Linked DNA regions of Macaca fascicularis. The protein of the gene in region 6 binds, or shares a complex with, the protein of the main gene of each other region. Links are inferred from orthologs where the notes say so. Each region holds a gene or a part of one and is shown on either strand. Other genes may lie near its edges.

Region 1 (4,378 bases), on a different chromosome or scaffold from region 6:
CCGCCGCCGCCGCCGCCGCCGCCCCCAAAGCCAGAGGAGAGCCGCTTCCCGGACAGCAGCTTCTCCACCGCCGGGAGGTGCCCGGTGCGGGCCGCCTCCAGCAGCTCCTGCTCCTTCCCCATCCCCAGGGCCGCCACCCGCTGGACCCCCCTCCCCGGGGCTGCAGCCGAGCCTGCTCGGGCTCCCAAACTTTCCGTCTCCGGGCAACGCACCCCCCAAACCGGCTGGGGACACCACCCCCCCTCCCTGCCTTTTCTCCACGAGCGCGTCACTTCCGGGATCCGGCGTCACGCGTCACCGCGCCCCCGCGCCCCGCCCCCTAGCTCACCTAGCTGGGCGGGGCTCCGCGGACCAGCGCAGGTGGATTTTGCTGTGCCGAGACAGGCCTCACGGGTTATGGGGACAGCGCCTTGTGGGTCCCCATTATATAGGTGGAAAGGGACAAACAGGCCCACCTGTACGCGCCTCCCGAAGTGCGCTCCTTCCCTAAACGTTTTGGGAGCTCCTGGGACAGGAAATACGGCAATTCGTCCAGGCAGCGCAGAAACAAAGAGATAAATATGGTAACGCGCACCTACATTTCCAAGGACATTCTTTAAGCACGCATAAATTAAATATGTAATAGGTGCTGGGACCTAGTCATACCCAGGTGAATAAAACGCCCTCCCCCTCGTATCTCTATGAGGGAAGAGAAGAAAATTTTAAAATAGAAATATCCTCACCACTTCATCCTCCCAGTACATGAACTAGTTCGTTAAAGTGAAACGTTCGAAGGAGACACCTTCCTCTCTTTAGGCTTTCCTCTTAGTTTTGGTAAGATTAACCAAAATGATAGAAAAGTGTCAGACTTGTAGAAACAAACCTCAATCTTGAATACTTGCGAACTGAAAAAAAATCATTTAATTGGATAGAAACTATGTGTGTTTTGTTCCCTGGTACTAGCACTGTTTCTAAATCGAAGTACGCAGTCAATAGTTGTGGATGAATAAATGAATTGGATAAATTCTGCTCAAGCTAGATGACTTTTTGTTGTTAAGGTGCTTGCTGAATGGAGCGGAAATGCTAGCAATTCCACGTACACACAGACCCGCGGTTTCGGGCCAGTTGAAATACACAAGGTTGAGTCTTGCCTGAAAGTTTACCAATCCCGGGTAGCCTCATTCCACGACACCGCCATACAACGGAACTGAGTTTTCTCCCGATCCCCCAACTTTACTCTGAGGGGTTAACGAAGGGATTAACTGGTATTGAATTTTTAGACAGGCGAAAAGGAAAAAGTTATTTAGTAAACAAAACTGCGCTCCTTCACAAGTGCTGGTTTCCTAGCTAGGAGGATCCATAGTCTGAGCTCTTTACGTCCAATTTTCCCGCTTCCCACTGTCGCCAAACCAAAGTTAAAATGAGTCCTCTAGTCCTCTACGCGCGCCTCAAAATGACCCCTCAGGAGAGCGGTAGGGGTGATGTCATCGCTGCGCGACGACAGGAAGTAAGATACTGTCCTGTGCAGCTCGGGGTTCCGAGCTTCTGCCTCAGACATCGCCGCGATCTCCTCTCCCCTCCAATCCTATCCGTGATGGACGATGCCCGCGAGTCGCCCTCCGACAAAGGTGGAGAGACAGGGGAGTCGGATGAGACGGCCGCTGCGTCCGGGGACCCGGGGGCTACCGACACGGATGGAATCCCAGAGGAAACTGACGGAGACGCAGATGCGGACTTGAAAGAAGCTGCAGCGGAGGAAGGCGAGGTAGGAAGAGATGTATCGATGAGGCTGAAGGAATACCCAGAGATCGTGTTACTGGGTGCTTGCCGGGCTTCTGGTTAGTCCCTCCCAAGTTACGAGAACTCGAACTCACCAGAACTCCCTCCAGATCGTTAATCTTGAGGGGGAAGAGAGCGGACGACCAAACAGAACTCCAGTGCTGGTTCCGTTCCAGAGGCTCAAGCACTGCGTTAATATTTTTAGTCTTGTCAAGGGATTAAAGCTACTTCTAAGGGAGTTTTAATAGCCTATTGGCTTTAGTGGTGAGGAAACTGGGATCCAGTGTCACACTGAGACGCAGTGCAAGAGCTAAAACCCAGGATTCGTAGCACCCCTTTCACCGCAATATGGTTCGTCTTAGATGTTAAGACAACTTTGTTTCTTTATAGGAAGGAGGGTCGATCAAACCTGTCAAAGGGAGATAGACTTTTATAAAAGTGTCGCCCGGGCTGTAGTACAATGGCGCGATCTCTGGCTCACTGCAACCTCCGCCTCCCGGGTTCACGCGATTCTCTTGCTTCAGCCTCCCAAGTAGCTGGGATTACAGGCTCACACCACCATGCCCGGCTAATTTTTGTATTTTTATTAGAGACGGGGTTTTACCATGTTGGCCAGGCTGGTCTCGAACCCCTGACCTCGTGATCCGTCCGCCTCGGCCTCCCAAAGTGCTGGGATTACAGGTGTGAGCCACAGCACCCGGTGATCAGGGACCCATCAGTTGGGTCTGGTGTTTTTATGCTACAGAGAGTTCAGCAGTGTTGCCTAGCTGAACATTGGTCAGGACCAGAAACTCATCGTTCTCTGGATTACATTTCTGGAAGTAGAATCTTGGGGTCTTAGAGCTAGAAGGGATTTAAGAGATCGTGGGGTGAACAGTAGATTAGATGGAAATAGCCTTTCAGTGTATAAAGTTGCATAAAAATATATAAAGTAAGAACTTTTAGAAAAAGAGAAAATTTGGCCGGGTGCAGTGGCTCACGCCTGTAATCTTTGGGAGGCGGAGGTGGGTGGATCGCCTGAGGTCAGGAGATCCCCAATATGGGGAAACCCTGTCTCTACTAAAAATACAAAAATTAGCTGGGCATGGTGGCAGGCGCCTGTAATCCCGGCTACTTAGGAGGCTGAGGCACAAGAATCGCTTGAACCTGGGAGGCAGAGGTTGCAGTGAGCCGAGATCGCACCACTGCACACCAGCTTGGGTGCCAGAGTGAAACTCCGTCTCGAAAAAAAGAAAAAGAGAACATTTGACAAAAGTATTTTAAGGCAGGTTTCTTTTTTTGTTTTTGTTTTTGTTTTTGAGACTGAGTACTCGCTCTGTCACCCAGGCTGGAATGTGCAGTGGCGCGATCTCGGCTCACTGCAAGCTCCTTTAAGGCAGTTTTTGTTGGTTTGTTGAGACAAGGTCTCACTCTGTCACCCAGCCTGGAGTGCAGTGGCACAGTCTCTGCCTCCTGGGCTCAAGCAACCCTCTTATCTCAGCCTCCGCAGTAACTGGGATTGCAAGCATACTGCACCACGCTCAGCTGAAGTTTTTGTATTGTTTTGTTTTGTTTTGTTTCGTTTTTGAGACGGAGTCTCGCTCTGTTGCCCAGGCTGGAGTGCAATGGCGCAATCTCGGCCTACTGCAACCTCCGCCTCCCAGGCTCAAGTGATTCTCCTGCCTCAGCCTCCCCAGTAACTGGGATTACAGGCACGTGCCACTGTGCCCAGCTAATTTTTGTATTTTTAGTAGAGCCAAGGTTTCACCAAGTTGCGCAGGCTGGTCTTGAACTCCTGACGTCATGATCCATCTGCCTCAGCCTCCCAAAGTTCTGGGATTATAGGCATGAGCCACCGCACCTGGCCAGCTAAAGGTTTTTTAAATATTGTTTTGGTAGAGACAAGGTCTCATTATATTGCCCAGTCTGGTCTCCAACTCACTGGGCTGAAGTAATCCTTCCGCCTCAGCCTCCCAAAGTGCTAAGATTACAGGTGGGAGCCACCATGCCTGGCCAAGAAGGAAACTTTAAAACAGGTGTCAAGGACAGCAAGGATTTGAATAATTAGCTTGGTACACTAGAGAGCTCACTACATATATAAATTTGCACCGAACAGAGGATAAAATTATGTTGTTTCTGAAACACTTTTAAAAATCAATCATGTACTAGACCATGAAGAAAAATATGAATTCTTAAAAGTAGATATCATAACAGGCCACATCTTGTTAATGCAATGCATTAAACTTGAAATTAACTACAAAAAGCTTCTCCCCCACCAAAAAAGAACCCCCTGGAAATTTTAAACTATTTTTTAAATAGCCTTTAGACTAAAGAAATTAACAGAACACTTTATCAAATGATATGGGATTTGGCCAAAGCTTTATTTAAAGAAAAATGTATAGCCTTACATATTTTTATTAACAACCAGAAGATACTGCAAATAAGCACCTGACTCAAGAGACCAGATAAAGGGCCTAGTGGAGTAGGTCACACCTACAGACCTAGCTACCTGGCAGGCTGACACGGGAGGATCACTTGAGGCTGCAGTGAGCTATGATCCAGCCTGGGCAACAGAGTGAGTCTGGGGAAAAAACAAACAAACAAACAAACAACAGATAAAGAACAAAATAAATCAGAAGAG
Region 2 (3,706 bases), on a different chromosome or scaffold from region 6:
TAGCCAGGATGGTCTCGATCTCCTGGCCTTGTGATCCACCTGTCTCGGCCTCCCAAAGTGCTGGGATTACAGGCTTGAGCCACTGCGCCTGGCCAGAATCTCTTTTTATTAATAAACATTGAGGACCCCAAATAGCTTTTGTATATGTGTATTTGCCACGTTAGAAAAAACATTTTGGGACTGGGCGTGGTGGCTCACGCCTGTAATCCCAGCACTTTGGGAGGTTGAGGTGGGTGTATCGCCTGAGGTCAAGAGTTTTGAGACCAGCCTGGCCAACATAGTGAAACCCTGTCTCTACTAAAAATACAAAAAATTAGCTGGGTGTGGTGGCGGGCACCTGTAATTCCAGCTACTCTGGAGGCTGAGGCGGGAGAATTGCTTGAACCCAGGAGGTGGAGGTTGCATTGAGCCAAGATCACACCATTGTACTCCAGCCTGGGCAACAAGAGCGAAACTCCATCTCAAAAAAAAAAAAAAAGAAGAAGAAAAAGGAAATTTCGAAAATAAGAATGTACGATTACATATTCTGTTATTCATCAGACCCATGATGTCATCAAAAGTCACATAGACTCAGGAAAACTACCTGAGAGAATGAGAGTGAAAAAGTCAAATAATGACTTAATTTTATCATGAAAATAGTTTTGACCTGTGTGGACTTTAGAACAGATTTTGGGGCCTACCACAGGTTCCACTACTTTTTGAACTTTGTCCTAAAGGAATGAATTAATAGTTCCCAAGAGATAAGAATGCAGTTCTTGGAACAGTCTTGGAATTTAGAGTTTAAAAGTCATGTATAGAGGCTGGTGTTAAGTGACTTGCTCAGGGTAGCAGGGGAATTGGTGGTAGGTCCCCTGTTAGACACCCTTCCCTGTCAAGCACTACTTGCTTTTATTTTCTGAGCCACTTAAAATCTGAGCCAACATTTTATCCCTAGAGCAGGAGTTCTTTACCTTTTGAGGCCCCTTTATACATTTGATAAAATCTGTGGACCCATTCCCCAAAAAATGCTTTTTTTGTGTGTAAAATTCAGCACAGCTTCAGAGTATTCGTGAAACCTCCCGTCCGCCTTGGAAGCTCATTCACAGAACCGAGCTTCAAAACTCCATCTTAGAAACCTTCCCCCCCTTTTCCCCAAAGGACTTTAGTGTGACTCTTAAATAGAGGTTCAGCTTCAGGCAGAAGAAACAAAAATTGCCCATCAGAGAATAAGACCGTTTTGTGTGTGTGGTGGTGAGATACACATAACCAAATTTATCATTTTAACCATTTTTAAGTGTACAATTCAGTGGTATTAAGTATATTCACAATGTTGTGCAACCATTCACAGTATTTCCAGAACTTTTTCATCATTCTCAACAGAAACTCTGTAAACATAAACAGTAATTCCTCATTCTCCCTCCCCCTCCATTCCCTGGTAACTTCTAATCTACTTTCCATCTCTGGATACCTCATGTAAGTAGAATCTTTATTTGTCTTTTTGTGTCTGCCTTATTTCACTTAACATAATGTTTTCTTTTCTTTTCTTTTCTTTTCTTTTTTTTGAGATGCAGTCTCGCTCTGTGTCCCAGGCTGGAGTGCAGTGGTGCAATCTCGGCTCTCTGCAACCACTTCTACCTCCCAGGTTCAAGCGATTCTCAGCCTCCTGAGTAGCTGGGATTATAGGCGTGTGCCACCTCACCTGGCTAATTTTTTATATTTTTGGTAGAGATGGGGTTTTACCATGTTGGCCAGGCTGGTCTCGAACTCCTGACCTCAAGTGATCCACCTGCCTCAGCCTCCCAAGTGCTGGGATTACAGGCATAAGCCACCACACCTGGCCCTAGCATAATGTTTTCTATTTTTTTCTTTTTCTTTTTTTCTTTTTTTTTTTAAGGAGTTCTCGCTCTGTCGCCCAGGCTGGAGTGCAGTGGCGCAATCTCTGCTCACTGCCACCTCCCCCTCCCGGGTTCAAGCTATTTCTCATGTCTCAGCCTCCCGAGTGGCTAGGATTACAGGCACCTACCACCACCCGTGGCTAATTTTTGTATTTTTAGTAGAGATGGGGTTTCGCCATGTTGGTCAGATTGGTCTCAAACTCCTGACCTCAGGTAATCCACCCGCCTCGGCCTCCCAAAGTGCTGGGATTACAGGCCTGAGCCACCACACCTGGCCTAGCATAATGTTTTCAAAGTTCATCTATGCTATAACATTACCAGAATTTCCTTCTTTTAAAGGCTGGATAATATTCCATTGTGTGTATATAGCACATTTTGTTTGTTCATTCACCTGTTAATGGACATTGGGTTGTTTCTACCTTTTGGCTATAGTGAATCATGCTGCTGTGAACATTGGTGTACTAGTAGCTGTTTGAATCCCTGCTTTCAATTCATTTGGGTATATACCTAGCAGTGGAATTGTTGGCTTATCTGGTAATTCTATGTTTAGCTTTCTGAGGAACCGAGAATAAGTTTTATGCCTTTAATCCCCTCTTAGACATTTCAGAAATTGGGAGAAGTGCCAAGTCTTACTGTGAGCACACAGCCAGGACCCAGCCCACACTGTCAGATATCGTGGTCACACTTGTTGAGATGGGTGAGTATACCTTCAGTTTCCAGTTCTTCCGTGCAACTGGAGAGAGAAGTTCCTAGGAGTCAGGCATGTCTGCTAAGTGTTCTTCGTTTCCCTCATGGTTCTCTTGATTTGCTTTGAGCTTGAGAGAGTTATCAAGAGAGATTCCTCTGAACACATCTAAGAGGCCTCATAATTCCCTGTTGGGGAATTCTGCCAGAGCTGCTTTTTGCGTGGCTGCAAGGTCATTGAGTTGAGAGTTTAAGCCATTTGTCCATAATACTACTATTCTTTCTGTATTCAATATCCAGTGGTCTGGGCAGTGATTTTTGTTTTCCTGTCTCTTAGGTTTCAATGTGGACACTCTCCCTGCCTATGCAAAACGGTCTCAGAGGATGGTCATCACTGCTCGTAAGTGACTTTGAACTGAGGTACCTAGCAATTTATCAATTAATGCTTGTGGAATGAAGTAATTGACTATGGTAGGGATTGGATTAGTAGCTACTTCCTTGTTGCAGGCTCTCTTCCAATGTTTGGGGCTACCTACAATATAATCTTTATTTGGGCTAGTGGGATTAGCATGTGAAATTCAGTCACCAAAAGGTAAACCACCTTTGAGATATTGCTGTGTTTCTTGTGCTCTAGCCCCAGAAGGGCAAATGATGCTGCTTGGAAAAATGAAAGTTCTTGTTCTCCTTAGATTAAGGGTTGGTACATTGTGGACTATGGGCCAAACGCAGCCTGCCTCCTGTTTTTGTAAATAAAGTCTTATCAGAATGCACCCATATTTACTTATTATCTGTGGCTGTTTTCATGCTATATTAGCATAGTTTAGTTGTGGTAGAGACTGTACCACATGCAGAACCTAAAGTATTTATTATATGGCCCTTTACACAAAGTTTGATGACCTCTACTTTAAGTAAAACTGGGTGCCATAAGCTGAGTGGCGAGTAACCAGTTTGGGCTTGTAGGACCTGGAGAGAATTAACTGGATTTTTTTCTTTTCTTTTTTTTTTTGAGATGGAGTCTCGCTTTGCTGCCCAGACTGGAGTGCAGTGGCACAATCTCGGCTGACTACTGCAACCTCTGTCTCCCAGGTTCAAGCTATTCTGCCTCAGCCTCCCAAGTAGCTGGGATTACAGGTGCCCGCCACCACACC
Region 3 (3,706 bases), on a different chromosome or scaffold from region 6:
GGCACCACCCGTTTGTACACGCGCAGTGTTGGCCTGTGGTGATGGACGTCTGTGAACAGTGAGCCCCACTTGGCAACTTCTTGGGTTTCTTTGCTGCGCACTTTTCGTTGCTTTCATGTCTGCCTCCTATTTGTTTCCTTCTGTGTCCATTTGGATTGGCATAGGTTGTCCTTATGGTCAGCGACATTGCAGCAGGCGTCTTCGCAGAGTCTCTTTTCACTTTTTTCATTATTTGCATAGCTACATTCCTAGACGTGGCCTTGCGGGACTGTGGGAGATGCTGACTTCGGTGGCCATGTGACTGATGTGGCTGGGCCGCCCCTCAGAGCATGGCCCGGGGTTCCACTCCCATCCACAGGCCAAGAGGTGGTGCGTTTTCTTGAAGTTTAGAGGAGAAATATATGTATCTCTTATACATACGCATATTTTATTAACCAAAGGCTGTGACAAAAATCTGCCTTTTAAGATTTTTCACTTATGTCTTTTTACTTTAATCCAGGAAACTATGGAAAACGTGAAGAAATGTAAAAATTTCCTATCTACGTTAATAAAACTGGCTTCATCTGGCAAGCAGTCTACAGAGACAGCAGCTAATGTGAAAGAGCTCGTGCAGAATTTACTGGTGAGAAACCTTGACTTGACATTTCATTCCCTTTTCCCTAAGGCCTGTTGCATAGGAGAGACACCTATTGCTGCTGTGACTTGTGCCTGGGAGGCCTGTGCCAGCAAAGGGAGAGCTCCTCTGGAAGGCTGCAGGCAGAGGGGGGGGTGCACACCTGTCAGAGGTGTGTGTGGCCTAGCTGAGGAGACTCCTTCCTGGGGCTGGGTGTTCTGGGGCTGGTGCCTGGTGGTCTCCTGGGCTTTGCCATTTTCTGGTGCCTGTGTCCCTTGTCTGTGGCTCTCTTCTCCTCTGGCTGCCCCCACCATGCTGCACTCTGGCCAGGGTCCCTGGCAGCTCCCTTCTGGTCCTCTCCCCACTCCTGTGTGACCTCTTGTAAAATTCCCAGGTGTCCGCAGTCCCTGCTGGAACAGGCATTCTGCACCCTGAGCCAGCAGAAGCCCCCTCCCCGTGGAGCAGACCAGCTGAGGCACATTCGTGCTCCAGTGGCAGAGCCGTCCCCCCACCCCTGCCCCCACCCCTTCCGAAACCTCTGTCGCAGTGAACAGCACTCTGTCTCCTGGCCAGAACGTGGGAGGATTCCTGGCGGCCTCCCCTCTCCTTAACCCACAGTCCCAAGCTCTACATCTCTACTCATGGCCGAACTCTTGGCTCTCCACCTTGGCTCTCCCCATGGCTGTCTCATGGCTCAGGGGTATGCTGGCCTCAGTGGGATGGCCTGGGGATCTGGAGTGGCCAGTCTTTCCGTGCCTTCTCCTTGCCCGCCTGACCATGTCTTCCTGAGTCTCTCAGGGTTCAGTCCAGGCACCGCCTTCCCACCCTTGTCGCCTGTCTTCCCGACCTTTATGCCACGCTGGCCTCTGTTTCTGAAACAGGATCTGGCCCTCTTGCTCTGGGCTCCCTTTTATCTGACTGGACTCTGGGCACCGTGACTGCTTGCAGGGGTGAGCACAGCTGTTGTCTGCTCCTGAAGGTGCTGATGCCCTGACTGTCTGGATCCTGTCTGTGTGGCCCCTGGCACGCTGTGACCTCCTGTAGCACTGTGCTTGCAGGGCTGGCTTTGATAATGGAGTTACTTTTAGGCTGATCTGCCTCCTAGCAAAATGCCTGACACCGAATAGGTGCCTGGTAAACACTGAGTAAAGACTGGCATTGAGTAAGAGGCTTAGAAAAAGACGAGAAGTAGACAGGTGACCCTCCCAGGAGGAGACGTGGTCCGCAGCTGGCTGCACTGCGGTGTCCAGGGTGAGCGCCTGTCACACGTGTATCTGTGGAAGGTGTAGCACGCAGACTTTCCCATCTCCTCTGTCCAGTGAAACTCGGGGCGGAATCAGCCGTAAAATACAAGACCAGAGTGATGCGGGATTCAGAAGTGTGTGTGGAATCTCATTCACCAGAATTTCAACATGGATTTTATTTTTAAGGATGGAAAAATCGAAGCAGAAGATTTCACAAGCAGGTTATACCGAGAACTTAATTCTTCACCTCAACCTTACCTTGTGCCTTTCCTGAAGGTAATTTCGAAGGCCCGGGTGCTTGACGAGCAGCAGGGCCAGGGAGGGGTGGGGCGCAGATGCTCCAAGTGCACAGGGGTGAGGATGCTCCAGGCACGGAGGGTGCACAGCGCCTGTGCTCCCTGCGGGGGTGGGGCCGGGGACTCAGTGCCTGGGGACAGAATGTTGGGTGTTTTCTGTAAAGCAGGAGCTCCCCTGACACTGTGGCGTTGTGGTTCTGTTGTGCGCAAGGCGGTGAGAAGGGCGCGCGCTTCCTGAAACCGAGGGGAACAGGGAATTGGGGTGGTGTTTGCAAAACTGGATAGGACCAAGGGTGTTAACAGTGTCAGGCTGTCTGTTGGATAATCATTGGTATGAGCACATTTTAAAATTTAATACATATATTTGTACATATTTATGAGGTGCATGTAATGTTTTGTTACATTCATAGAATCAGGGTATGTGGGGTCTATCCCTTTGAATACTTATTTCCATGTGTTGGGAACATTCAGAATCTTCTCTTCCCGTGATGTTAACATATTTTAAAAACTATTTTAAAAATATGGCTCTTTTTGTTTGTTTTCTTAAACACATTTTGGACATTTGCTATCAGGAATAATCCCGCCTAGTGGGAGGGCGGGATGGGGTCCTGGCCCCTGACATCCAGACGTGCTGCTGTGAGGGCCAACATCCGTCTTAACTCAAAAATTTTCTGTAAAAGTTGATATTTCTGAATTTTTAAGCAAGGAAAACTGACGCATGAGCAACCCCCTGACCCCTCGTGTCTGTCTTTCCACCCAGAGGAGCTTACCCGCCTTGAGACAGCTGACTCCCGACTCCGCGGCCTTCATCCAGCAGAGCCAGCAGCAGCCGCCACCGCCCGCCTCGCAGGCCACCACTGCGCTCACGGCTGTGGTGCTGAGTAGCTCAGTCCAGCGCACGGCCGGGAAGACGGCGGCCACCGTGACCAGTGCCCTCCAGCCCCCTGTGCTCAGCCTCACGCAGCCCACACAGGTCGGCGTCGGCAAGCAGGGGCAACCCACACCGCTGGTATGGAAGGGGCACCTTACTGGTCCACACAGCCCACCGTGCCTCTGCTCCCTCCAGCTTCTTAGATAAATTGGCCATGGTTCAGAAACCTTTTCCAAGCATGCAGGAAGGCTCCTGCTAGAGGAAGCTTAGGCATTACCTTAGTTAAAATAGAAATCAGGGTTGAGGCCCTGGGATTTTGTGTTTTGTCTCAGTAAAATGAAATAGTTGAATTGGCTTTGAACCACTGGCACATCCCCGCCTTGTCTTGTCTAGGGATGTTACTGGTGTAAACGAATGCAGTGTGTTTTTAGAGGATCTTGTAGATAGATGTTCTCTTGGGTTAGGAGCAGCGGTCCAAGCGTAAGACACGGGCACCCGCGTGGGACAGGTGGGCAGGAGACTGGAGACGGTAGCAGCTCACAGCGCAGGGTGGATTTAGGTGGGTCCCGGGAGGCAAAGCTGCGGCTGCTCGTAGCGGTTCACGTATGTGCAATGTGGATCTGGCTTTCTTGGTTTTGTAGTCACGACGTTTGCTCTGGAGCTAGAGAAAGGACGTCTTCGC
Region 4 (4,309 bases), on a different chromosome or scaffold from region 6:
CATTCTCCTGCCTCAGCCTCCCGAGTAGCTGGGACTACAGGCGCCCGCCACCTCGCCCGGCTAGTTTTTTGTATTTCTTAGTAGAGACGGGGTTTCACCGTGTTATCCAGGATGGTCTCGATCTCCTGACCTCGTGATCCACCCGTCTCGGCCTCCCAAAGTGCTGGGATTACAGGCTTGAGCCACCGCGCCCAGCCGCTTTGTGTTTATTAACAAAGATAGGTTCAAGCCTCACATAACTACTTTTCACTCACCGAATGTTCAGCAGGACATTCAGAAATCGTGTGTATTGCGGGATTTTCTTTATGTAGCATCATCTGTTACACTGTAGGACACATATTTTATATCCCTAGCTCTGGCCTTCCAATGCCTGTGGTTTTCCCAACCATTGTTCCGACCAAAAGCCTTCCCCAATGGACACGGTGGCTCACACTTGTAATCCCAGCACTTTGGGAGGCCGAGGGGGGCAGATCGCTTGAGATCAAGAGTTCCAGACCAGCCTGGGTGATGTGGCGAAACCCCATATCTACTAAAAATACAAAAATTAGCCGAGCATAGGTGGTGTGTGCCTGTAATCCCAGCTACTTGGAGGCTGAGGTGGGAGGATGGCTTGAGCCCAGCAGGTCTAAGCTGCAGTGAACCCGGATTGTGCCACTTCACTCCAGCCTGGGGGACAGTGAGGCTGCGTCTCAAAAAAAAAAAAAAAAAACCAAAAATGAGGCCGGGCATGGTGGTGCACGCCTGTAATCCCAGCTACTCGGGAGGCTGAGGCAGAAGAATCGCTTGAACCCGATAGGCGGACGTTGCAGTGGGCCGGGATTTCGCCACCGCACACTCCAGCCTGGGCGACAGAGTGAGACTTGGTCTCAAAAAAAAAAAAAAAAAAAAAAAACACACACACACAAAAACAAACCTTCACAAAATTTTAAATGCTTAGTTTTGGGACACCATCTCTTGGAAATTTGTGGTGAAGCACAGTATCCCCAGTAATTAACATAGTGCTTAGAAACAGTGGAACCACAACTCTTTAAAATGATTTAAAAGCATTTATGTCAGATAAAGGACCGCTGGCTAGCCCTCCTACGATCCATAGCTTCGCAGTCCCCAAACAGGAAGGCGTGATTCAATGCGCAGTAGCAAATTTAGGGTGACAACGAGATACATCCCACGGAGCCCGTGATTTCCTTTTCTTTGTTAGTTTTCAATTCCTTCAGTGTTACAGGGAGGAGCTCCGGCCTCCTCCGCTAAAGACTGTCGCATTTCCGCCGCTAGGCCGGAAAGCACCACCGTCCTTCCGCAGGCCTCAGTCAGCTAGGCCCAGCTCCAGCCCCGCCCGTCACCGGAAGTGAGGCGACGGAAGTAGCGTAACCCGCTGAGAACCAGCCGGCGGGGCGCTGTGGGTTGGCGGGCTAGTGGGATGGCAGATGAGGAAGAAGACCCCACCGTGAGTGACCGTCTGTGTCCAGAACCTCTCTTTTCTTCACTCCTTCGGGCTCAGTAGCGGAGGCAGAGTTCAGGATCGGATCTGCTTGCCTTAGTCAATTCAGCCGACAGAATTCGGGGACTTCACTCCCTAAGGATTGATCATTTTAGAAAGTGGGGAAGGACATGAAGAAAGAGTAGGTTTTGTGACCCCTTTCCCCTTGATTTTGATCTTTATTTGCCAGACACTGAAACACTTACAGAATCATCAGACGTCAAAACTAACATCTATTAGCGCTCACTATGAACCAACAGTTCAATTGTTAACAAAACTGTACTTACTGTGAAGTAATGGGAAAAGAATGCATTGAAAGTCAGACAGCCTGGATTTCAAAATCTCCATTCTCTCTAAGCAAGTTATTTAACTTTGACAATCAGTTTTCTTGTTACAAAATAGGGTTACGGGCTTACTTAAGGAACGTTTTTAGCACCGTATATGCAAATGCTTAGTAAATATTAGTTTTGCTTAATTGAAAGTCTACAAAGGTAGACTTTGATTCAGTATCAACTGTTTAACAGTAGCAATAGGCCACCTTAGTTGTTTAAAAATAAAACCTATGGTCATTGTAACTCTTACACGTAGAAGCAGTAGGATTATTTGTTAGGAACATTGTAGAAGCCATTTTTGGATGAGTTGGAAATTGGACTCGATACCTAGGCTGCTTACGTGCTAAGGTTTTGTGTTTTTTTTTTTTTTTTTTTTTTTTTTTTCTGCTTCCTTTAGGCTTTCTGGCCTATCTGTTGAAAAGGAAAAAACATTGTTATTATTAAAATATCAAATGCAAGGCAATTATTTGACATTTCTATATATACGTTTTCTAGTTTGAGGAAGAAAATGAAGAAATTGGAGGAGGTGCAGAAGGTGGACAGGGTAAAAGAAAGAGGCTTTTTTCTAAAGAATGTAAGTAGTATTTGACAATGATTTTGTTATAGATGATGAAAACTTTTGGACATATCCTTTCCAAGTACATTTATTGCTTTGAATGTTTCCCTGTAGTGACAATATTCTCAGACTAGCCTATCAAATTCTGTTTAGCTTTTGAATCAGATAGTACCAATCCTAACCCCAGTTATATGTGTGTGTATGTGTGTCTGTGTATAAATTGCTTTTTAGGTGAGCAAATGTAGTTCGTGTTTTAATTTAGGGCAGAAGAACATACCTCCATTAGTTTTCCTCTTGCCTTTGCAGCAGTAGAAAGAGAGGCTTCTTTGACTGTAAGCCACAGATACTAATGGATCCTGCACCAGGTGTTGAGGGAGAGTAGCAAGTGAGTTGGGGCTTGGGCTTTGGACTAAGGCTATGAACAAAGTAAGAAGGTGGTGAACAGCTGGGTGTAGTGGCTCACGCCTGTAATCCGAGCACTTTGGGAGGCTGAGGCAGGTGGATCACTGGAGGTCAGGAGTTTGAGACCAGCCTGGCCAATGTGATGAAACCCCATCTCTACTAAAAATACAAAAATTAGCCAGACGTGCTCGCTTGAACTCAGGAGGGAGAAGTTGCAGTGAGCCAAGATTATGCCACTGCACTCCAGCCTGGGTAACACAGCAAGACTCTGTCTCAAAAAAAAAGAAGAAGGTGGTGAATAGTGTAAGACATTAGAGTGACATGGAGGCTAGATGCAGTGGCTCACGTCTGTAATCCCAGCACTTTGGGAGGTCAAGGCAAGCAGATCGCTTGAGCCCAGGAGGTCAAGACCAGTCTGGGCGACATAGTGAAACCCTCTCTCTACAAAAAATACAAAAATTAGTAGGGCATGGTGGCACGCCCCTGTAGTTCCAGCTACTCTGGAGGCTGAGGTGAGAGGATGGCTTGGGCCCAGGAGGTGGAGGTTGCAGTAAACCCAGATTGCGCCACTGCACTCCAGCCTTGGTGACGGAACCAGACCCTGTGTCCAAAATAAATAAATAAATAAGCAAAATAAATAATGACATGGAGATTATAATGTATTGATTCTGCATCCTACCCCCTCAGTAGATGCTTTTGACCCTTTTTGGCAACAAGAGGAAGGGAGAGCTGCTGCTACTACTGATGGTACAGGCCAAGCCCTGGAACACAGCATGAGAATGTGCTCTCCATCTCCAGTCCTGGGTCCTTTATGTAAAGTTATATCTAAGTATTGAGAGATGAGGCAACACAGATTTATGAATATGGTTTATTTAGGCGGGGTTATATGTGAGCAGTTCCCAAATGCCCTTGAAACTACAGGGTCAGTATATCTTTTTTTTTTTTTTGCAATTAACTGGGCATGGTGGCGTGTACCTATAGCCCCAGCTATTCAGGAGGCTGAGGTGGGAGGATCACTTGTGCCCAGGAGTTCAAGGTTGCAGTGAGCTGTGATCATGCCACTGTACTCTAGCCCCAGTGATAGAAGAGTGAGACCCTGTCTCGCCACCAGCCCCAGCTAATTTTTTGTATTTTTAGTAGAAACGGGTTTCCCCATGTCAGCCAGGGTGGTCTCAAACTCATGACCCAGATGATCTGCCTAACTCGGCCTCCCAAAGTGCTGGGATTACAGGCCTGAGCCACCATGACCAGCCATACCCAGCTAATTTTTGTATTTTCAGTAGAGACTAGTTACACCATGTTGGCCAGGCTGGTCTCAAACTCCTACCCTCAAGTGATCCTCCTGCCTCAGCCTCCCAAACTGCTGGGGTTACAGGCATGAGCCACCACATCCAGCCAGACACTCTTATTTTTTAACCATCCAAATCCTTTTCCATATTTCGTTTCCTCACTAAAGCTGAACATTTCTTATTTCATTTCTCTGATGCTCCTTATACCATTATGTGGTTTTACTTATTATATCAGCATAAGAATGGGATCCTT
Region 5 (4,445 bases), on a different chromosome or scaffold from region 6:
TTAGATTATCTTTAAAGCATGAGAAATTTGGTACCGACTTACTTTATGAGCAATTTTGATGAAATGACATTGATAAATGACCTCAGTTCTCAGATTATTAATTATAAGAACTCAACTGAAGAAAAATAGAAATAAAATCTTAATCCAAACCAATGGAATGATTCATTGGACTGCACTTGATAACCACTGCTTTGTTTCCAACATTTTGTGCAGGTAGATTTAGTAAGCTTTTTAAAAAAGGCACGAAGGCCTTCATCTACAAAAATTAGGGTAGTTTAAGAAAGCTCTGTATCTAATGTTTCCCAGCTTTCAAGTAGATCAGATAGAACTGGAATCTTAATATGATGCAAACATGACAATTCCCAATTTCTTTACCCCTGCTGTGTTGCTTTTTTTCATAAACCAAACTGCCTCTACCTGCAGAACTGGATCAAATTTCTTAGTCACTAAACTCCACCACAAAACCACCTCAAAAGGGACCTGACTCCCACCAACCATGAAAGAACAAGATACACTACAAAGTGAAAAACAGATGCTTTTATTTATTGTATTGTAAACAACTTAATAAAATTTGCATCTCTACATATGGGAAACTGCTTTGAGTAACTGGGAAAACAGCTATTGCATGGGAAAACATATGCAAACTAGCATCACTGTCTCTAGACTAGGTTCTTCTTATTGATCTCATGTCATCATAAGGCAGCAACAGCAGCTTCTAGAAAATGGAGAAACAGCAAAGTCCTGCAGTGGAGCTATAATTAAGGTTGAACCATACATTCCACTAATCCTGCAACTTTCCTACTATCATTTTTCTGCCTATACAATCCTGCTTCTTATAGGATGAACACCTAGCAAAACAATGTAAATTTGCTGAAAAACAAAACTATAAACAAATGAAAGAACTTAACAGAACACACAGCATTAGAGGGACTAGGAAGTGCAAGGTGTTAATATCCAGTACAAGTAATAAAGCCAAGAATTTTCTAATGCTGATCAGTCTGAACACTGAAATTAAGAATCAGTTCTTTTTACTTCTCTAGGAGTGATTCTAGCTCTTCTTGCAAAGAGCTGAGTTGCTCCTTTTCTCGGTCTTCCTTTTGTTTGAGCTCATCCAGTACAGCCTGAAATCTGTTCTTGAGAGCCAGATTTTCCACTTTCATGATGAGATCCTCTTGTCGTTTTGCCCTGTCCTGGGTCTCTTGGAGCTTGCCTTTCATGTTGTCAATCTGCTTCTGAATTCCCATAACCAGCTGATTGGTTCCCTCATTTTCCTGGTGCTGTTCATCTGATTCATTTAGCTTGTCCTGTAGTTGTCTCTCCAGATCTTCCTCAGTGTCAATGATGTTTATATCTTCTTCATCTTGATGCTGGGTCTCATCTTCATCCTCACTGCTGCTGCTGAGGTCATTGAATATCTCCCGAAGCTCATCATGTTCTAATGAGTCATGGCCCTGCCTGTGACCAGACATTCCTGGAGAAGAGATATCCAGGCCTTGATTTTCTGCCTCCTTTGTTTCATCTTCAGCAATTATTTCCCACCGAGTACTAACAGCTTCAGCATCTGTACTCAGCAATCGTTTCACTTCTTTTTCCACATCTGGAGATTCAATATATTTCTTCTTTGCTGTCTTCCGGAACCTTCTCTTCCTGACATTCTTCAGAGGCAGAGTAATTCCGTGGTTCCAGATAAACTTTTTCTCTTTGTCCTTATCCTTTTTCTTGCTTGCTTTAGGATCAGTGCTAGCAACTGGCTCCTCCACAGGTGGATAGAGATCACCATCAACTGTGGATACAAGCATCTGACAGATATCAGCTGTCTTGTAAAAGGTTTTCTTATCAATGGTTTTCAAGCTTTCCATAACACAGGGCAGGTCTACCAATTTTGAGGCCAATGGAACACGGTCCACTCTGACGATTCCATGACGCCCATCAGGATGTAACTCAATTGTCAGTCTGTCCTTGAGGTTGACATGACCAGACTGTACTGCTCTTCTCACAGTAGAGGCATATTCTGGAGGCAGACGTAAGATAAACTGGCTCTCCAGTTCGTGAGGAGCATCATCTTTGCTTTTACTCATTTTTATTTCTTTGTGACTCACTTCTCCAATAAATGATGGTTACCGTAAAAAGTTCCAGCTACTGCAATAATTTAAAACACCAGTTCGCTATGAATTGAAATATTTTAATTACAAGAAGTTCTCTGTAGATCAGCAGCTTAGCGTCTATTTTGCCTTCGTTTTTATTTAAGCTCCAAGTCTTTTCTCTAAATATGCTGTGACCAAATACCAGTCGTTAACACAAAGGCTTATTCACAGACTTAAGTTCATTAAATCAGATGCAATGCCAAGTCCCAACCTCTAGGTGCCGCTGCCCGACAACGCGGAGACAGCTACCTAGCTAGGAAGCAGGAAAGCAAATGGCGGCTCCCGCGGAACGGTTTTCGGCCCAGAAAGGCCAGCAGAGATACTCTCAATTTACAAACTCTCCCGGAACAGACACTCAAAACATCAGGGCTCAGTGAGCTCTCTTCGCCTCGGGTACTTACAATCCAGTGACGATTATAAGTTCAGTTTCACCGGGCCGGAGCGAAGGGAAGAGGAGGCCGCAAGGAGCAAAGCGGGAGGCAGCCAAGCGTCTCCTTGTCGTTTCCTTAATTCTTCCTGCCGCTTGGCAGAGTGATCCACTATCGATTACTGATGAAAGCCCAGGATGGGCAACGCGAAATCTTGCCGAGAGGCGCAGCTCGGAGAACCAGACCCGGCACCTCGCCGGCCCTCCGTTCGACCGCTTGCCCAGAGAAAACGGAAGTGCTACGTCACGACGCGGGGCGGGAGGTGGATGTGAGTGACAGCCCCTCCGGCCGGAAGGGCGGAGCCCCGGCGCGCGCAGGCGCAATAGCGCAATTACGCTGCCCAGCGTGAAACTCGTCTTTTCGCGAGAACTTGCTTTTCTAGGATGAAAATGATAGTGTTTTCGAAGAGCTGTTGGTTTCAAACTATTTAGCGCTTGGAAGTTACAAGAAAGACACGGATTCGTCCCCCGCTAAGCCAGCACTTTTAAGGGATCGCTGTGGGGCCGGATGGCTTCTAGACTTCCGGGTGATTCCGGGAGATGGGGGACGCCTGGCAGTAAGCGTCTTTGCTTCTGGAAACATCTCGGATGCTTCCTAGGGTCTAGCCAATCTGGTGCCAATACAAGAATGTGTAGCTACTATACAATGGATTTTAAAGAACCCAAATCAGTGGAGTGAGGAGGACATGGAGCTCACTATATAATTCTAAACCTCTCTTTGTTTGTTTGTTTGTTTGTTTTGGAAATGGAGTCTAGGCTGTCACCCAGGCTTGAGTGTAGTGGCACAATATTGGCTCACTGCAATCTGCACCTCCAGGGTTCAAGCGATTCTCCTGCCTCAGCCTCTTGAGTAGCTGGGATTACAGGCACCTTCCACTACCCCAGCTAAGTTTGGTATTTTTAGTAGAGAAGGGGTTTCACCATGTTGGCCAGGCTGGTCTCCAACTCCTGACCTGAGGTGATTTGCCTGTCTTGGCCTCCCAAAGTACTGGGATTATAGGTGTGAGCCACCGTGCCTGGCCCAAAGTCTATATTTTGTTTAATATAATTCCCTGTAGGGGAATTGTGCCTCTGGGTTTCCTTCTGTTCTGTAATACTCCTGAGGAAACAAGGGTGATTCCTTTTTATATGCTTGATTTAGATGTAAATGTAAGCAGAGAAGGAAGTGTTCTTCTGCAAGCACAGGTTCATTTTGGACAGAATTGTCTGATAGACTGAGCATCTGGTTAAAGTAGACATAATTGAAGTATTGTTTCCTGCTTCTCATGTACAAGTAATTTTAAATACTTTGACTTTTTTTTTAACTCCACCTCTACTATTTTGCTGTTTTGTGCTTGTCTTTTCTTTGGAGGGTCAGGTATTCATCAACACATATTTTTAGTATTTTGACATAACTGGGTAACAGTTGGTACTTATTTCTATTTATTTCCATTTATTTTTAAAATATCTGGTAGAGCATCAAGGCCATTAACATTTAATTTCTATCCTCTAAAATATTACCAATTGCCCCTAAATTTAAGAGAATTCTCTTAAGATGTAATTAACATTTCCAAAATTCACTTTATTCCTGTATGATTGAAAGCTCCATGATAGTGATCTTTTTCTATCCTGGTCATTGTGTCCCAGTGCCTAGTACCAGAACATGGGAGATACACAAAAAATATTTGCTAATTGAATGAAAAAATTGATCTATCTAGAAAGATCATAGTCTTAAATGCTGTAGTGATTTGTGAGAGAAAATACATTCTTTGTCACTTTAAAATGAGATAGAGCCACTTTACATACATTTCCTCTCTAGTCAGGGACAATGCTAATTGTTATGAGGTGGGGAGGTTTGCTAATAGTGTGTGTGAATGTGGTTTAGCTAGAATGAG
Region 6 (3,494 bases):
TCTGGTTTCTTCTTGGTAAATGATGCTATGCTTTTTCCAACCAAGCCAGAATCTGTGTCATCTTTCCACCGCATCTTCAATCAACAAATCCTCAATCAACAAGTCCTAATGACTGCACCTCGTACCTCTTAAATATCTTTATCAGTCCACAAGTCCTTCCAATGATATTTCCCAAGTATATCTAGAACTTATCCACTTATATCCCCACTGCTACTACATTAGTTTAGGGCTACATTCTCTTGAAAAGTACAGCGTCCTTACTTCCGGCCAATCCCCAAATCATCTTCCAGAGTAAAATGCAAATCCCATCAGGCCACTTGGATGAAAACCCTTCAAGGATTACTGGATAGAGTTCAGGCTTTTTATTTTCTTCCCCCAATCATAGCTCACAAACCTTCGTTGCTATTTGTTCCTAAGTAACAAATCATTTTTCCTCCTCCCTCCCCAAACCCCAAGGAACTCTCACTCTTGCTCAAGCTGTTCTGTCCCCTTAATACTACCCCTGATACAAACTGCCTGGTTAATTTCCAGAATTCTTACAAGATTCAGCTCAGAAGTCACCTTCTCTCGTGAATGTTTTGATTCCCTGAGGCTACTTCATTTTGCTATGGCTGAAAAATCCTAGATTTTCTAAACAAAACCTGTTTGAATCTTGGTTCTGATATGGACTGGGAGAGAGACTGGGTCAAGCAAGTTTATCTCCCTGAGGCTGTTTCCTCGTCTGTTAAGTGGGAATATTACCTGCCTTTCATAATCACCAGGGAATAAAGTGGAATAATGTTGATAAGAGTACTTGGCACCTGGAAGTAGGTGGCAGATGTTAATGCCCTTCCTCCCTTGCACTGCGACCCCTGTGTCTACCTCTAGTATTGTAACGACCACATAGTATTGAAATAGCCACTTTACTTGTCTGGCTTCCTTTCCAAGACCGTTGGTGCCTAGAGGACTAGAATCGTGTTCTATTTAACTTTGTATTCCCAGGTCCTAGCTCAGGAGTTGGCAAATAAGAATTAAATATCTGCTACATTGAAAATCTCACGCCTTTCACTCGTTGTGATTTTTGCATACGTTGTCGACTTAGGCTGAAACCCCTCCTCCTTCTACAGCAGCACTGTGGGCCGCCCCACTGCTGCCCCCACCTCTCGGGGCAGTTGGTGGAGAAGGGCGGGGGGCTTTCCAAATCCACTATGAATCCTTACAAGGCTGAATAAGGGAACTTGAAAGGATGCAGACAGGCAGGCAATCCGCAGTCGAGGGATGTAGGGCCCATAAACCTCGAAGCAAGGTCTTGAGCGTCAGACAGAATGAGGTGTCCCAGAGCGGCGGAAGAGTCCCGGACGCACGCTGCTTCTAGTCTCGACGGAATCGCCACCGAGCACCGCAGAGGCTAGGGCGGAATGGCGACGGCAGCGCAGTTCGCCAAGGCTTGGTCTCCGCCCTTCAGCCTATTTCCTCTAACCCGCAGACCCACTACCAGAGGAGGCGGGGAGCGGGCTGGAGAGCACTAACAGTGACAGGCGGGGCGAGTCGAGGGCGCGTGACGTCACCCCGGGGTGTGCGCGGCGCGAGCGGAAGCGGAAGCGGCTCTGTTCGCCGCCTCTCCCACCGGCCCGATGAGCTGCAGCGGCTCCGGCGCGGACCCCGAGGCGGCGCCGGCTTCCGCCGCCTCGGCCCCGGGCCCGGCACCCCCGGTCTCGGCTCCCGCAGCGCTGCCCGCCAGCACCGCTGCGGAGAACAAGGCCAGCCCCGCGGGGACAGCAGGGGGGCCTGGGGCTGGAGCAGCTGCTGGGGGCACGGGACCCTTGGCGGCGCGGGCCGGGGAGCCAGCTGAGCGGCGTGGGGCGGGTGAGGGCCTGACGGGTGAGGGCGAGGGAAGCGTCTGGGACTGGGCCCAGCGGCGGGTGAGGGCAGCGGGTATAGACAGACCTCGCTGGGGCCCTGCGCCTCCCACCTCTGTGTCTCATTTTGCTGGTTCTCCTCCAGCTCCGGTGTCGGCGGGTGGCGCGGCGCCCCCAGAAGGGGCCATGTCTAACGGGATTTACGTACTGCCGAGCGCGGCCAACGGAGACGTGAAGCCGGTGGTGTCCAGCACGCCGTTGGTGGACTTCTTGATGCAGCTGGAGGATTACACGCCTACGGTGGGCTTCCGCCCGAACAAGGCCACCTAGCCTGCTGTCACAACTTTCAGCCACATCTCCGTGCTTTTCAGCACCCTCTGATGTTTGCTTCCGTAGTCGCTCTTGTTTTTGCCCTCTGCTCACCCAAATCGTGAGCTTCCTGATAACCAGGTCTATCCGACATTTCCCTCACCCTCATCCCACTCTGCTGACAGTTCTCTTAATTGATTTCTTAGATCCCAGATGCAGTGACTGGTTACTACCTGAACCGTGCTGGCTTTGAGGCCTCAGACCCACGCATGTGAGTAAACCCAGGGCAGGTTAGTTTTGGGTGCTTGTGCAGTGTGTTGTCCATCTCCTTCTCATCTAAGTTTTTTCTCTCTAGAATTCGGCTCATCTCCCTAGCTGCCCAGAAATTCATCTCAGATATTGCCAATGATGCCCTACAGCACTGCAAAATGAAGGGCACAGCCTCCGGCAGCTCCCGGAGCAAGAGCAAGGTGTGAGGGGAGGCTCATTGAATCACTAATTACCTTCCACAACAGTGGAAGCTTATCCTGCCACCCCTTTGGGGAAACTGAATCCTAGGGGAGGTGTAAAACTTACTCAGGGTCACCCATCTGGGATTGAAGTGTGGGATTCCTGTGCTCAGTTGGTGCTCTTCCCTCTTCCCTCAGGACCGCAAGTATACTTTAACCATGGAGGACTTGACCCCTGCCCTCAGCGAGTATGGCATCAATGTGAAGAAGCCGCACTACTTCACCTGAGCCACCCAACCTAAATGTACTTGTCTGTCCCCATGTCCCCACACCAGCCTGTTTTCATAATAAACTTTATTGTGACAGGCGGGGCTGATCCCTCCCATGTTGGGAGACACCATGTGGCAAGTGACAAAGCTCTGAGCCCGCCCCTTTTGGGGCCACAGTGGTAGGGATGGGGGAAGGGGATGGACCCCATGGCTGGGGTAGTACCATGACTGGAGGCAGGGGAGGCAACCAGAGGTCTGCTGCTTTGGGGAAGTACATTCCCCCAACCATGTCCTGACACCTCTGGAGTTCAGGCAAGGGCCTTCCGGTCCTACTTGTCCTGCATCTTCTCCAGGATAGGCACAATCATGTCAAATTTGGGTCGCTTTGCAGGGTCTTCGTTCATGCAGATCTTCATGAGCTTACACACATGAGGGGAAATACCTGGTGGGATGGTAGGCCGAAGGCCTTCCAATGCCACCTGTGAATACAAGAAAAAACTGAGCCTCACAATTTGAGTCTGTCATGTAGAGAGAAGCCACTGGCCCCTGGGACAGGATAACTGTATATCCGAACAAATATGGGAGGAGCCCAGGCCCACTACAGTTATTTTCACCATAACCAACCACTC
Region 7 (3,706 bases), on a different chromosome or scaffold from region 6:
AGCGCGCCCGGCCACGTGAGGCACTTGTAATATGTATATGTAAAATGTTTGGTATGGATAAGTTTATGCCTCTGTATGTGTTCCTGACACCTGAGCCACTGCTTTCTCACAGCAACTGTTGCCACAAATCCATGCAGTAAAACTCATATACAATATAAGGTCTCAGAGGTGATCCTGAGCTGACAATAAATGTTTATTGAATTATCCAGTGCAGAGCTTTTAGCCAAATTAATCTGTATGAGGCCTAATCTTTGCAGCATTGCCAGAAATGAAGTATGAATACATAGCATTGTATTCATATCACATTGTAATCCATAAATAGAAATGTGTGCAGATGTGGATTGAAGGCCGGGCGCGGTGGCTCACGCCTGTAGTCCCAGCACTTTGGGAGGCCAAGGCAGGTGGATCACTTGAGGTCAGGAGTTCAAGACCAGCCTGGCCAACATGGTGAAACCCCGTCTCTACTAAAAATACAAAAAAATTAGCTGGGCGTGGTGGCATGTGCTGTTGTCCCAGCTGCTCGGGAGGCTGAGGCAGGCGAACCACTTTAACCCAGGAGGCAGAAGTTGCAGTGAGCCAAGATAGCGCCATTGCGCTCCGGCCTGGGCAACAGAGCAAAATTCCGTCTTTACAAAAAAAAAAAAAAAAAAGTGTTTGAGAGGAATCTTTTTTTAATGTTGAATTTTGTGAATGAACTATAAGATGAATTATATTGTTGGTTATTTTGCTGTAATCTCCTATCTCTTCAGAAACTTGACCTAATTATAGATCATAACTGAGAAATCAGTAAGGAGGAAAAGAGGCCATCAGAGTAACCGAAGAAATTATCACATTTGTGCAGTAAAGAGCGAAGTGTACTATAATGGCAACTTACAAATATTTCCAACAACCAAATTCTGATTTGACAGATGTATTGTTAGGTGGTGCTGTGTTACAAATAAATAGTTATGTTTTCTGTTTTGAAATGCTGGTTATGGAAATTGTTTTAAGCATATAACTATCTTTTTTTTTTTTTTTTTTTTTTGAGACAGAGTCTCGCTCTGCCGCCCAGGCTGGAGTGCAGTGGCGTGATCTTGGCTCACTGCAAGCTCCGCCTCCCGGGTTCACGCCATTCTCCTGCCTCAGCCTCCCAAGTAGCTGGGACTACAGGCGCCCGCCACCTCGCCCGGCTAGTTTTTTTGTATTTTTTAGTAGAGACGGGGTTTCACTGTGTCAGCCAGGATGGTCTCGATCTCCTGACCTCGTGATCCGCCCGTCTCGGCCTCCCAAAGTGCTGGGATTACAGGCTTGAGCCACCGTGCCCGGCCGCATATAACTATCTTTTGAAGATATAAATAGGGCATGGTCCTTCCCACCCTTAAGTGGTTACATTTTATAAGGGGTAAGAGATGTATATAATGTGAAGGGAACACAGGATAGGATATGTTACAGGAATGTTACACAGTGCTTGGGTGGCTCAGAGAACTGGGAATGTTACTGCAGTGCATGGCTTGGTGGTAATGGGTGCCATTTGAACAGAGCGTTGAGAGAAAGTTAATGTAGTTGTTTGATTTGCACATACCATCTTTTATACAATTTGTCTTTAACATAAGGTAGTTCCAGGAGGAATATTGACTCTTCTTGTTATTGTTTTTTTTGTTTTTGAGACGGAGTCTTGCTCTGTCACCAGGCTGGAGTGCAGTGGCGCGATCTTGGCTCACTGCAACCTCTGCCTCCTGGGTTCAAGTGATTCTCGTGCCTTAGCCTCCCGAGTAGCTGGGATTACAGGCACGCGCCATCACACCCAGCTAATTTTTGTATTTTTAGTAGAGATAGGGTTTCACCATGTTGGCCAGGCTGGTCTTGAACTTCTGAGCTTGTGATCCGCCTGCCTCAGTCTCACAAAATGCTGGGCCACCGTGATGGCCTGTTATTGTTATCTTAAGATATGGATGTGCTGACAGGTTTCGGTTTGGGTGACTGAAACAAGTGAAAAAAATTCTATTAAAAGATTATGGCTGGGCGCGGTGGCTCATACTTGGTTTTTTTTTTTTTTTGAGATGGAGTCTCGGAGTCTCGCTCTGTTGCCCAGGCTGGCGTGCAGTGGCGTGATCTTGGCTCACTGCAACCTCCGCCTCCCGGGTTCACGCCACTCGCCTGCCTCAGCCTCCCGAGTAGCTGGGACTACAGGCACCCACTACCATGCCCGGCTAATTTTTTGTATTTTTAGTAGAGATGGGGTTTCACCGTGTTAGCCGGGATGGCCTCGATCTCCTGACCTCGTGATCTGCCTGCCTCGGCCTCCCAAAATGCTGGGATTACAGGCAGGAGCCACTGTGCCCGGCGGCTCATACTTGTAATCCCAGCACTTTGGGAGGCGAGTGGATCACCTCTGGTCAGGAGTTCAAGACCAGCCTGGCCAACATGGTGAAACCCCCCCTCTACTAAAAATACAAAAATTAGGGGGCATAGTGGTGCATGCCCGTAATCCCAGGCATGCACCACCATGCCCTGGAAATTAGTTAGGGACTGGAACAGTAGGCAGGTTCTATTGTTAAAGTGAAGGCATTGAAAAAAAAGAATAGGCTGGTTCTTGGGCCATGTTGAAGATCTTTGTTTACCCTGAGAGCAGTAGGGAGTTGTATTGGGTAGGATTACTCAGGAGGCTGAGGCAGGAGAATTGCTTGAACCCGAGATGCGGAGGTTGCAGTGAGCCAAGATCGTGCCATTGCATTACAGCCTGGACGACAAGAGTTGAAACTCCATCTCAAAAAGAAAGAAAAAAAAAAAGACTGTGTGGGCCAGGTGCGGTGCCTCATGCCTGTAATTCCAGCACTTTGGGAGGCCGAGGTGGGAGGATCACAAGGTCAAGAGATCGAGACCATCCTGGCAAACATGGTGAAACCCTGTCTCTACTAAAAATGCAAAAATTAGCTGGGCATGGCGCATGCCTGTAGTTCCAGCTACTTGGGAGGCTGAGGCAAGAGACTCACCTGCGAGGCGGAGGTTGCAGTGAGCTGAGATCTCCATACTGCACTCCATCCTGGTGACAGAGCGAGACTCCCTCTCAGAAAAAAAAAAAAAAAAAGATTATGTGATTGTGTTGAGGAAGAGACGTTGGGAAGAAAGAGACAACAATCTGAGCAACAACTCACCTCTGGGCCTTAACAAAACAGCCATAGTCACATGGTCATAATAGGTCATTTTCTTAAAAGTTGTTTTTTGTTTTTTAAACAGTTGGAAGTGTTGCTGTGGAAGACCAGCCAGATGTCAGTGCTGTGTTGTCAGCCTACAGCCAACAAGGAGATCCCACAATGTATGAAGAATACTATAGTGGACTGAAACACTTCATTGAATGTTCCCTGGACTGCCATCGGGCAGAGTTATCCCAACTCTTTTATCCTTTGTTTGTGCACATGTACTTGGAGCTAGTCTACAATCAACATGAGAATGAAGCAAAGTCATTCTTTGAGAAGTATGTACATTTTTACATATATATATACACACATAGTGTGTGTGCGCGTGCATATATGTTCACATGTGTAACCACACAAATGTAAGACTGCAACTTAAAATGTACGTTGTGAAGGAGAGGTACCTAAGGCTATGAGAACTTAAAATGTGGGGTTTAATCTAGCTGGAGAAGTCAGAGAAGGCTTCCAGAGGAGATGATACTTGAGGTGAGATCTGATATCTGAAGATTAGGTAGGAGTTAGCCAGATGAAGA

The links.
Region 1: TAF10 (region 6) and TAF11 share a complex: the UniProt entries of both Homo sapiens proteins name them as parts of the TFIID basal transcription factor complex. The link is inferred for Macaca fascicularis from reciprocal best matches to the Homo sapiens genes TAF10 and TAF11.
Region 2: the proteins of TAF10 (region 6) and TAF8 are in contact, whole or in part, in a crystal structure (PDB 4WV4), measured with the Homo sapiens proteins. The link is inferred for Macaca fascicularis from reciprocal best matches to the Homo sapiens genes TAF10 and TAF8. Residues at the interface, in NP_006275.1 of Homo sapiens: Pro115, Leu116, Phe119, Leu120, Leu123, Tyr126, Thr127, Thr129, Ile130, Pro131, Val134, Thr135, Tyr137, Tyr138, Leu139, Ala142, Gly143, Phe144, Glu145, Ser147, Asp148, Arg150, Ile151, Leu154, Ile155, Leu157, Ala158, Ala159, Gln160, Lys161; in NP_612639.2 of Homo sapiens: Arg33, Thr36, Leu37, Val40, Ser43, Leu44, Leu45, Ala48, Gly49, Phe50, Glu51, Ser52, Ala53, Glu54, Ala56, Ser57, Thr60, Leu61, Met64, Leu65, Gln66, Tyr68, Ile69, Ser70, Ile72, Gly73, Arg74, Ala76, Lys77, Cys80.
Region 3: TAF10 (region 6) and TAF4 share a complex: the UniProt entries of both Homo sapiens proteins name them as parts of the TFIID basal transcription factor complex. The link is inferred for Macaca fascicularis from reciprocal best matches to the Homo sapiens genes TAF10 and TAF4.
Region 4: TAF10 (region 6) and transcription initiation factor TFIID subunit 13 share a complex: the UniProt entries of both Homo sapiens proteins name them as parts of the TFIID basal transcription factor complex. The link is inferred for Macaca fascicularis from reciprocal best matches to the Homo sapiens genes TAF10 and TAF13.
Region 5: TAF10 (region 6) and TAF7 share a complex: the UniProt entries of both Homo sapiens proteins name them as parts of the TFIID basal transcription factor complex. The link is inferred for Macaca fascicularis from reciprocal best matches to the Homo sapiens genes TAF10 and TAF7.
Region 7: TAF10 (region 6) and TAF5 share a complex: the UniProt entries of both Homo sapiens proteins name them as parts of the TFIID basal transcription factor complex. The link is inferred for Macaca fascicularis from reciprocal best matches to the Homo sapiens genes TAF10 and TAF5.

Annotation. Positions count from the first base shown.
Region 1 is NC_088378.1:136,805,302-136,809,679, forward strand, and holds the start of TAF11 (transcription initiation factor TFIID subunit 11), read left to right. Parts: upstream 1-1,488; 5' UTR 1,489-1,573; coding exon 1,574-1,744; intron 1,745-4,378. Other genes in the region: ANKS1A (ankyrin repeat and SAM domain-containing protein 1A), read right to left, coding at 1-122. UniProt on the Homo sapiens protein: The TFIID basal transcription factor complex plays a major role in the initiation of RNA polymerase II (Pol II)-dependent transcription.
Region 2 is NC_088378.1:129,500,303-129,504,008, reverse strand, and holds part of TAF8 (transcription initiation factor TFIID subunit 8), read left to right. Parts: intron 1-2,472; coding exon 2,473-2,571; intron 2,572-2,895; coding exon 2,896-2,958; intron 2,959-3,706. UniProt on the Homo sapiens protein: The TFIID basal transcription factor complex plays a major role in the initiation of RNA polymerase II (Pol II)-dependent transcription.
Region 3 is NC_088384.1:118,057,054-118,060,759, reverse strand, and holds part of TAF4 (transcription initiation factor TFIID subunit 4), read left to right. Parts: intron 1-499; coding exon 500-622; intron 623-2,043; coding exon 2,044-2,133; intron 2,134-2,913; coding exon 2,914-3,162; intron 3,163-3,706. UniProt on the Homo sapiens protein: The TFIID basal transcription factor complex plays a major role in the initiation of RNA polymerase II (Pol II)-dependent transcription.
Region 4 is NC_088375.1:125,372,424-125,376,732, forward strand, and holds the start of transcription initiation factor TFIID subunit 13, read left to right. Parts: upstream 1-1,355; 5' UTR 1,356-1,417; coding exon 1,418-1,444; exon of another isoform or gene 1,445-1,618; coding exon of another isoform or gene 1,619-1,619; intron 1,620-2,206; exon of another isoform or gene 2,207-2,304; coding exon 2,305-2,383; intron 2,384-4,309. UniProt on the Homo sapiens protein: The TFIID basal transcription factor complex plays a major role in the initiation of RNA polymerase II (Pol II)-dependent transcription.
Region 5 is NC_088380.1:147,784,539-147,788,983, forward strand, and holds TAF7 (transcription initiation factor TFIID subunit 7), read right to left. Parts: upstream 2,810-4,445; 5' UTR 2,079-2,809; coding exon 1,029-2,078; 3' UTR 523-1,028; downstream 1-522. UniProt on the Homo sapiens protein: The TFIID basal transcription factor complex plays a major role in the initiation of RNA polymerase II (Pol II)-dependent transcription.
Region 6 is NC_088388.1:59,466,616-59,470,109, forward strand, and holds TAF10 (transcription initiation factor TFIID subunit 10), read left to right. Parts: upstream 1-1,588; 5' UTR 1,589-1,613; coding exon 1,614-1,860; intron 1,861-1,983; coding exon 1,984-2,138; intron 2,139-2,353; coding exon 2,354-2,418; intron 2,419-2,502; coding exon 2,503-2,617; intron 2,618-2,794; coding exon 2,795-2,884; 3' UTR 2,885-2,964; downstream 2,965-3,494. Other genes in the region: scaffold protein ILK, read right to left, coding at 3,195-3,344. UniProt on the Homo sapiens protein: The TFIID basal transcription factor complex plays a major role in the initiation of RNA polymerase II (Pol II)-dependent transcription.
Region 7 is NC_088383.1:112,411,909-112,415,614, forward strand, and holds part of TAF5 (transcription initiation factor TFIID subunit 5), read left to right. Parts: intron 1-3,216; coding exon 3,217-3,454; intron 3,455-3,706. UniProt on the Homo sapiens protein: The TFIID basal transcription factor complex plays a major role in the initiation of RNA polymerase II (Pol II)-dependent transcription.